Macaca fascicularis: one gene and its partner. The main gene of each other region encodes a partner of the protein of the gene in region 2 in a complex. Links are inferred from orthologs where the notes say so. Each region holds a gene or a part of one and is shown on either strand. Other genes may lie near its edges.

Region 1 (3,982 bases), on a different chromosome or scaffold from region 2:
TCTCTACTAAAAATACAAAAATTAGCCAGGCATGGTGGTGGGCGCCTGTAATCCCAGCTACTTGGGGGGTTGAGGCAGGAGAATCGCTTGAACCTGGGAGAAGGAGGTTGCAGGGGGCCGAGATCACGCCACTGCACTCCAGCCTGGGGACGAGCAAAACTCTGTCTCAAAAAAAAAGAAACGAAAAAAGTCCACTAATAGAACAAGCCACAAACTAGGAGAATACATTTGGTATACATAAAATCAACACAAGATCTGTTTGCATTTTACATAAAGAAATCCCATAAAGCATGAAAAATATGAAATGTCACAAGCACTAAAATAAACTACTTGTAATACAAATGTACTACTATATAGTTGTGTATTTGTTTTGTTTTGTTTTGTTTTTTGAGACAGAGTCTCGCTCTGTCACCCAGGCTAGAGTGCAATGGCGCGATCTCGGCTCACGGCAACCTCCACCTCCCAGATTCAAGCAATTCTCCTGCCTCAGCCTCCCGAGTAGCTGGGACTACAGGTGCATGCCACCACATCCAGCTAATTTTCATGCTTTTAGAAGAGATGGGGTTTCAACATGTTGGCCAGGCTGGTCTCAAACTCCTGACCTCGTGATCCACCTGCCTCAGCCTCCCAAAGTGCTGGGATTACAGGTGTGAGCCACCGAGCCCAGTCACCAATGTACTACATAGTTTAAAGAGTGGCTGGGGTGGGTGGCTCATGCCTGTAATCCCAGCACTCTGGGAGGCAGATGCAGGCAGCTCACCTGAGGTCAGGAGTTCGAGGCCAGCCTGACTAATATAATGAAACTCCGTTTCTACTAAAAATACAAAAATTAGCCAGGTGTGGTGGCATGCGCCTGTAATCCCAGCTGCTTGGGAGGCTGAGACAGGAGAATCGCTTGAACCCGGGAGGCGGAGGTTGCAGTGAGCTGAAATCGTGCCATTGCACTCCAGCCTGGACAACAAGAGTGAAACTGTCTCAAAAAAAAAAAAAAGAAGAATGTACATGTGTATCTATAAATCTACCACTTGTCAAAAACTTAAGGGGGTCTCAGATCTTACCCTACTTGCAAGCTAACAAGTTAGCCTGTCACAGTTTTACAAATGCTGATGGAAAGCATGTCACTACCTGGCCTGAAATGAAGGGCAATTTATTACAGCAATGACAGTAGCCAGAATATAGCCTTGATATCAGTTTCCCAAGTGAATTTCTACAAGGCAAAGTGAGGAGAACCCATGCACACAGTGAGTTGCCTTACAGGAGAGTAACCCTGAGCTTAGAGAATCTGAACCATTAACCATTTTTTTAAACGAGGTCTCACTCTGTTGCCTATCCTAGTCTTGAACTCCACCTCATCCTATAGAGTAGCTGCGATTACAAGTGTGAGCCACCACACCCTGCTCCAAATCTTTTATAATGGATTGTGCCCTTGTCTCCTCCTTGTTTTGTAGGGAGACACCACTGCTATCTTCCAAGGCTGCCCACTACACGAACATCCTTAAGGAGAGTCTAGGAGCAAAGGCAGTCAGGCAATGATCGCAGTATGTGCACAAACTCAAGAGACTAATGGAGAATTGTCTCCAGACTTTATTCAGCTTAAAAAGCGCTACATAATTCATATTTTAGAGCAGGTGCCTATTGCTCAGGCATTCTGAATATCTTGATTACAGAAATTACAAGACCTTAGAGGTTTTGTAAAAACTGAAGGAAAGCCGTGCACAGTGGCTCACGCCTGTAATCCCAGCACTTTGGGAGGCCGAGGCGAGTGGAAAACTTGAGCCCAGGAGTTCGAGACCAGCCTAGGCAACATAACAAGACTTGCTTCTATTTTAAAAAGAAAAAAAAAAAATTCTTTTTTAAAATGGAAGGAAGTAACACTTGTAAAATCAGCACTGAGCCCCCACATCAGGCATTCGATGAAGGGAAACTGCTATTGTTATGACTGTTATAGTTAGAAATACCATACGGTTGGCCAGGCACGGTGGCTCACGCCTGTAATCCCAGTACTTTGGGAGGCCGAGGCGGGAGGATCACGAGGTCAGGAGATCAAGACCATCCTGGCTAACACGGTGAAACCCCTTCTCTACTAAAAATACAAAAAATTGGCCAGGCGTGGTGTCGGGCGCCTGTAATCCCAGCTATTTGGGAGGCTGAGGTAGCATAATCGTTCGAACCCGGGAGGCAGAGGTTGCAGGAGCCGAGATCGCGCCACTGCACTCCATCCTGGGTGACACAGTGAGACTCCACCTCAAAAAAAAAAAAAAGAAAAGAAAAGAAAAATAGAAAAATAAATAATATACGGTTGAGATGAATACTGTCTTCTTCAGAACAAGTCGAACAGCAGAACCATAGAGTCTGGTTCCCTCCTCTTCTCCCACCCAAACCCCACCCCTGCCCCGCCAACCCCACCCCTCCCCCGCCAAACGCGGCGCAGGGACCTGGCGGAAGATTAGAGAGACAAGAAAAAAGAACGCGAAAAAAAGAGGCTCTCGCGCCTAGCCCGGCCCGGCCCCGCGCACCTCGCACCTCCCGCTCAGGCTCCGAGTCCTCATCGACCTCGCGCTCCCGCTTCACCCGCACAAACGGGACAACAGAAGCCTGGGCCTCGCGCACGCTCGCCGGCTCGACCTCTCGCTTCACGCGCACAGGGCTGCCCCGGGAGCTTGCCGCCTCAGGCTCCCGCTCCCGATCTCGCTCCCGCTTGACGCGACCGGAGCTGCCCCGCGACTCGGACTCTCGCTTCCCGCGGGTGGAACCGCGAGACTCCCGCTTAGACCTGCCGGACATAGCCACTATCGGCAGAGTCTTCCAGCGCAGGCGCCAGGCACGCTCGAGCGCGCGGCACACGGCCAATCAGGAGAGGGGCTGGTAGGGAGCACCGAACGCTCTACGAGTCGCCACTGGGGACAAATCACGCTGCAGGAAATTTGTGGGCGGTGCTGTTCCTGTAGCGGTTTCCCCGCCCCTGAGAACCTTCTGTGGGCCTACCGTCGTTTACAGTTTACTGACACAGGAACCTTTACTGGCGACAGTTTTCTGGATAAAAGTTGTCAGGCCGGGCGCGGTGGCTCACGCCTGTAATCCCAGCACTTTGGGAGGCCGAGGCGGGTGGATCACCTGAGGTCGGGAGTTCAAGACCAGCATGACCAACATGGAGAAACAACATCTCTACTAAAAAATACAAAATTAGCCAGACGTTGTGGCGCATGCCTGTAATCCCAGCTACTTGGGAGGCTGAGGCAGGAGAATCGCTTGAACCCGGGAGGCGGAGGCGAAGGTTGCAGTGAGCCAAGATCGCGCCATTGCACTCCAGCCTAGGCAACAAGAGCGAAACTCCGTCTCAAAATGAAATAATAAAATAAAAGAAAAAGAAGCTGTCATTCGGCCCCAGATTTGTGCCTCGAAACCACCATCGCGAGGTCGTTTCCCACAGTCTCCGCGGCTTGGAGGCTGACAATCCTGCGCAGGAAAACTAGGCAACATTCCCAAATCATCCCCTTGACGGCCCTAATTCTACTGTTAAGAGGGTTCTTGGTACCATGAAAACGCAAATGCCCGGTAGGAGCGGATTTACCATGAAGCTAATAAAGCTCTAACCTCAGGACCTGCCTTGAACTTGTTTGCTTGTTTGAACTGTTCCATTGAGGTATAATTGACATACAACAAACTACATGTTTAAAGTGTGGAATTTAGGCCAGGCGCTGTGGCTCACGCCTGTAATTCCAGCACTTTGGGAGGCAGAGGCGGGCGGATCACCTGAGTCAGGATTCGAGACCAGCCTGGTCAACATGGCGAAACCCCGTCTCTACTAAAAATACAGAAATTAGCTGCGGTGGCACGAGCCTGTTATCCCAGCTACTCAGGAGGCTGAGGCAGGAGAATCGCTTGAACCCGGGAGGTGGAGGTTGCAGTGAGCCGAGATCGCGCCATTGCACTCCAGCCTGGGCAACAAGAGTGAAACTCCATCTTAGAATACAATACAACA
Region 2 (4,225 bases):
TTCCTGACCTCGTGATCCACCCGCCTCGACCTCCCGAAGTGCTGAGATTACAGGTGTGAGCCACCGCGCTCAGCCAGACATTTTCAACTCTGCATGTCTCAGGTCGGGGTCCAGATCACCCAACCACCGAAGCCTACCCTATCCACAGTGTTCCCCATCTGCCTTCTAGTTCTCTGGGCAAAAACTCTTTGTCAACTTGATTCCTCTTTTTCCCTTGCATCCTACAATAAATCTGTAGGAAGTGGCCATTTCTTACCATGGCCTCAGCCTCTGTCATCTCTGACCTGGAATCTTTCCGGTCTCTCTGCCTCCACCCATGTTCCCTGACAGTCTGTTCTCCACAGAGTGGTCTGAGGGGGCTGTGCTAAAACCTAAATCATAACATGTCACTCTTCAAAGCCCTCCCAGGGGCTGGGTACGGTAGCTCATGCCTGTAATCCTAGCACTTTTGTGGTGCAGAGGTTGCGGTGAGCTGAGATCGCGCCACTGCACTCCACCCTGGCAACAGAGCAAGACTCCGTCTCAAAAAAAAAAAAAAAAAAAAAGAAAAGAAAAGAAAAGAAAATGTCTGTTAGGCATCCAGCTGGTGATGATTCACAAGGCGGGTGGATCACTTGACATCAGGAGTTCGAGACCAGCCTGGCCAACACGGTGAAAACCCATCTCTACTAAAAATACAAACAAAACAAAAACAACAACAAAAAATTAGCCAGGCGTGGTGGTGCACGCCTGTAATCTCAGCTACTTGGTAGGTTCTGGCAGAAGAATCGCTTGAGCTCAGGAGTCGGAGAGTGCAGTGAAGCGAGATCATGCCACTGCACTCCAGCCTGGGCGACAGAGCGAGACTCTGTCTCAAAAAATAAATAAATACAAATTAGAAAATACAAAAATTAGGCTGCGTGTGATGGCTCACGCCTGTAATCCCAGCACTTTGGGAGGCCAAGGGGGGTGGATCGCCTGAGCTCAGGAGTTCCAGACCACCCAGGGCAACATGGTGAAACCCTGTCTCTACTAAAAATACAAAAAAATTAACGAGGTGTGATGGCGCATGCCTCTAGTCCCAGCTACTTAGGAGGATGACGCAGGAGAATCGCTGGAGCCCCAGCAGCGAAGGTTGCAGTGAGCCAAGATTACACCACTGCACTCCAGCTTGGGTTACAGAGTAAGACTCCATCCCCCACCCCAAAAAAAAAAGTAGCTGGGCATGGTGGCGCATGCTTGTAATCCTAGCTACTTGGGAGGCTGAGGCAAGAAGATCACTTGAACCCAGGAGACAGAGATCGTGCTACTACACTCCAATCTGGGTGACAGAGCGAGATTCCATCTCAAACAAACAAAAGAAAATCCTCCCATGCCCCCCCGCCATCTCAGTGTAGAAAGTAAAACCCCGGCCAGGCATGGTGGCTCACGCCCGGCCAGGCACGGTGGCTCACGCCTGTAATGCCAGCACTTTGGAAGGTCGAGGCAGGTGGATCATTCGAGGTCAGGAGTTTGAGACCAGGTTGGCCAACATGGCGAAATCTGGTCTCTACTAAAAATATAAAAGTCAGCTGGGCATGGTGGTTGGTGCCTGTAATCCTAGCAACTCGGGAGGCTGAGGCAGGAGAATTGCTTCAACTCGGGAGGCAGAGGTTGCAGTGAGCTGAGATCGCACCATTGCACTCCAGCCTGAGCAACAGAGCAAGGCTATGTCTCGGGAAAAAAAAAAAAAAAAAAAGATTTTTTTTTTCCTTGGGAACAAAAGGTTTCATTCACTGATGTATCCTATGTGGCTTAAGCAGTGTCTGATACATAAACATTCAATGTAATATTTGGTGCACTAATAAATGAGCAAAATCATGCCAATCACTCGTTATCCCTTTAAGTTGTGAATTAGGTCGAAAACGCATCTGTCTCCAGCTCAAATGATCAGGAGAAGTCCCTTATTTCAAATCATTATTTCTAAAAGTCCTAACTTCCCTTCCCCAGTATTCGTTTTGATTTCTTTTGTTTCGTTTTGAGATGGAGTCTTACTCTTCGCTCAGGCTGGAAGTGTGCAGTGGTGCAATCTCGGCTCACTGCAACCTCCGTCTACCGGGTTCAAGCGATTCTCCGGCCTCAGCCTTCCAAGTAGCTGGAATTACAGGGGCCCGACACTACGTCTGGCTAATTTTTGTATTTTTGGTAGACACGGGGTTTCACCACAATGGCCAGGCTGGTCTCAAACTCCTGACCTCAGGTGATCTGCCCGCCTCGGCCTCCCAAAGTGCTGGGATTTACAAACCTGAGCCACCGCGCCCGGCCTCCCCCAGTATTCGTAAAATCGCTGCCCCTTAACATTCACTTCAATAGGACTAATTATCTAGGACCCCCCTCCGTTATCGTTTAAAATATGTTTTTCATAATTAAAAAAAATTTTTTTTGTAGAGACGGGGGTCTCGCTATGTTGCCTAGAGTAGTCTCGAAACTCCTGTGTTCTAGCGATGCTCCCGCCTTGGCCTACTAAAATGCTGGGATCACAGGCATGAGTCCCCGCGCCCAGCCCAGCGCGTTATCTGATAAAGCTGTCCCCTCTCCCGAAGTCACGATGCGTCAAAGGCCCCACGCCCGTTCTCAAACTCATCAGGAGAAACGCAGGACGCTCCATCCCTAAAACATCTGCCCCTGTCCCCCACCCCGCTCTCTGCTCAACCCTTCCCACCCTCAATCGGTCAAAATTTCCACCCTCAACCTCCTTCCCGCCGCCTAAGCCTAGCCCGGCCTCACATGATGGTCACTAAGCTCTCCGTTCACTCCCGTTTCCTCCGCGTTGCTGCAGCCTGAGGCGAGAGAGGCGGGACTTCCTCTTCCTGCGACCCACTTCCGTTGGCGCCTGCGCAAAGCCAACCAGTAAGTGGAGGCGTGGCCTGTTGCCATAGCATTGCCCACCAACGGTGCACAATGAAAGAATAAAAGCCTCGGATAGGGGTTCGAGGCCAGTCAGAACCACACGGGGCAGATGTTTATGACAATGAAGACAAAAGGAAAGGCGGTCTGATTCAAACCGTTTCGTTTAAGAATGGTACAGGTTTAAGGAGGGAAATGACAAACTATTTCCAAATGCCCGCCGGCCGTGACTTCGGGGGCGCGGCCTCCGCTGAAGCCAATCCGCTCCTCGCTTCGGAGACAGGCACCGCCCCTCTTCCCTCTGGGACGGGTTATTGACGTATCTACTGATCTTTCCGACCCTGCGCCACCAATCCCCTGCCTACATCCGGGAGGGGCATGGACCTGCGCCCGAGAGATTGAATATTTTCCACGATCAAACGCTGCTCATTGGCTTTCCCCCTCCGCTAAGGCGGAGCCTATCTCTTTTGCGCTCCCTTTTGGGTCGTGCCATTCTCAGAAGAACCAACCCCAATACCCAAGGGAGGCCGGGAGGCGTGTCCTCAGGACCGTAGCTCTTATTGGTTTCGCTGCTCGCTGTGGGGTGGGCAGGTGCAGCCGCTGCTGTTGCTTATTGGCCCACTGATTCCATGGGGTGGAACTTGGCTGGGCCTAAACTCAATCGTGGTCTGGTACAGGTTTCAGGGCATAGCTGCCATGCGTTCCGGGGGCCGCGGGCGGCCCCGCCTGCGGCTAGGGGAACGTGGCGTTATGGAGCCACTCTTGCCCCCGAAGCGCCGCCTGCTACCGCGGGTTCGGCTCTTGCCCCTGTTGCTGGCGCTGGCCGTGGGCTCGGCGTTCTACACCATTTGGAGCGGCTGGCACCGCAGGACTGAGGAGCTGCCGCTGGGCCGGGAGCTGCGGGTGAGGCTGGGCGGGGACCCGGGCACCGCGGGGACCCTCATTCCCTCCCCGCTGTTACCCAGGGTTGACTTGGCTTTAGCGTACGGCCCTAACCGCAGATGCCACAGTCTTCGTCATCTGAGCGCATGACCCTTACCAAAGGAATAAGGCTTCGGGCTGGTTTTACAACAGTAGCTTCCTTTTATGAGGAAAGGTCTGAAATAGTAAGACGAGGGGGTTCAGGGTTCTACGCCTTTAGTCAACTATTTGGAAGAGTCCCTTCCTCCATCTCCCCTCTCTCTCACTGGGCCTCGATTTCCCCATCAAGTTTGAGGTAGGCTGGACCGGATGGTCTTGGAAGGACTTTTTCTGAGCCTTGGATTTATCCTAGAAGTCTCCGATGCTGGAGGCCGCAAATTAGAAAGAGGACCCGGGGCTGCTTGTGGGTGACGGCGCCCGGGGTAGGGATGAAATGGTG

Evidence for each region.
Region 1: SNRPD2 (region 2) and USP39 share a complex: the UniProt entries of both Homo sapiens proteins name them as parts of the U4/U6-U5 tri-snRNP complex. The link is inferred for Macaca fascicularis from reciprocal best matches to the Homo sapiens genes SNRPD2 and USP39.

What each region holds. Positions count from the first base shown.
Region 1 is NC_088387.1:35,970,546-35,974,527, forward strand, and holds the start of USP39 (ubiquitin carboxyl-terminal hydrolase 39), read right to left. Parts: upstream 2,817-3,982; 5' UTR 2,785-2,816; coding exon 2,517-2,784; intron 1-2,516.
Region 2 is NC_088393.1:53,756,366-53,760,590, forward strand, and holds the start of SNRPD2 (small nuclear ribonucleoprotein Sm D2), read right to left. Parts: upstream 2,801-4,225; 5' UTR 2,748-2,800; coding exon 2,746-2,747; exon of another isoform or gene 2,014-2,745; intron 1-2,013. Other genes in the region: QPCTL (glutaminyl-peptide cyclotransferase-like protein), read left to right, coding at 3,562-3,768. UniProt on the Homo sapiens protein: Plays a role in pre-mRNA splicing as a core component of the spliceosomal U1, U2, U4 and U5 small nuclear ribonucleoproteins (snRNPs), the building blocks of the spliceosome.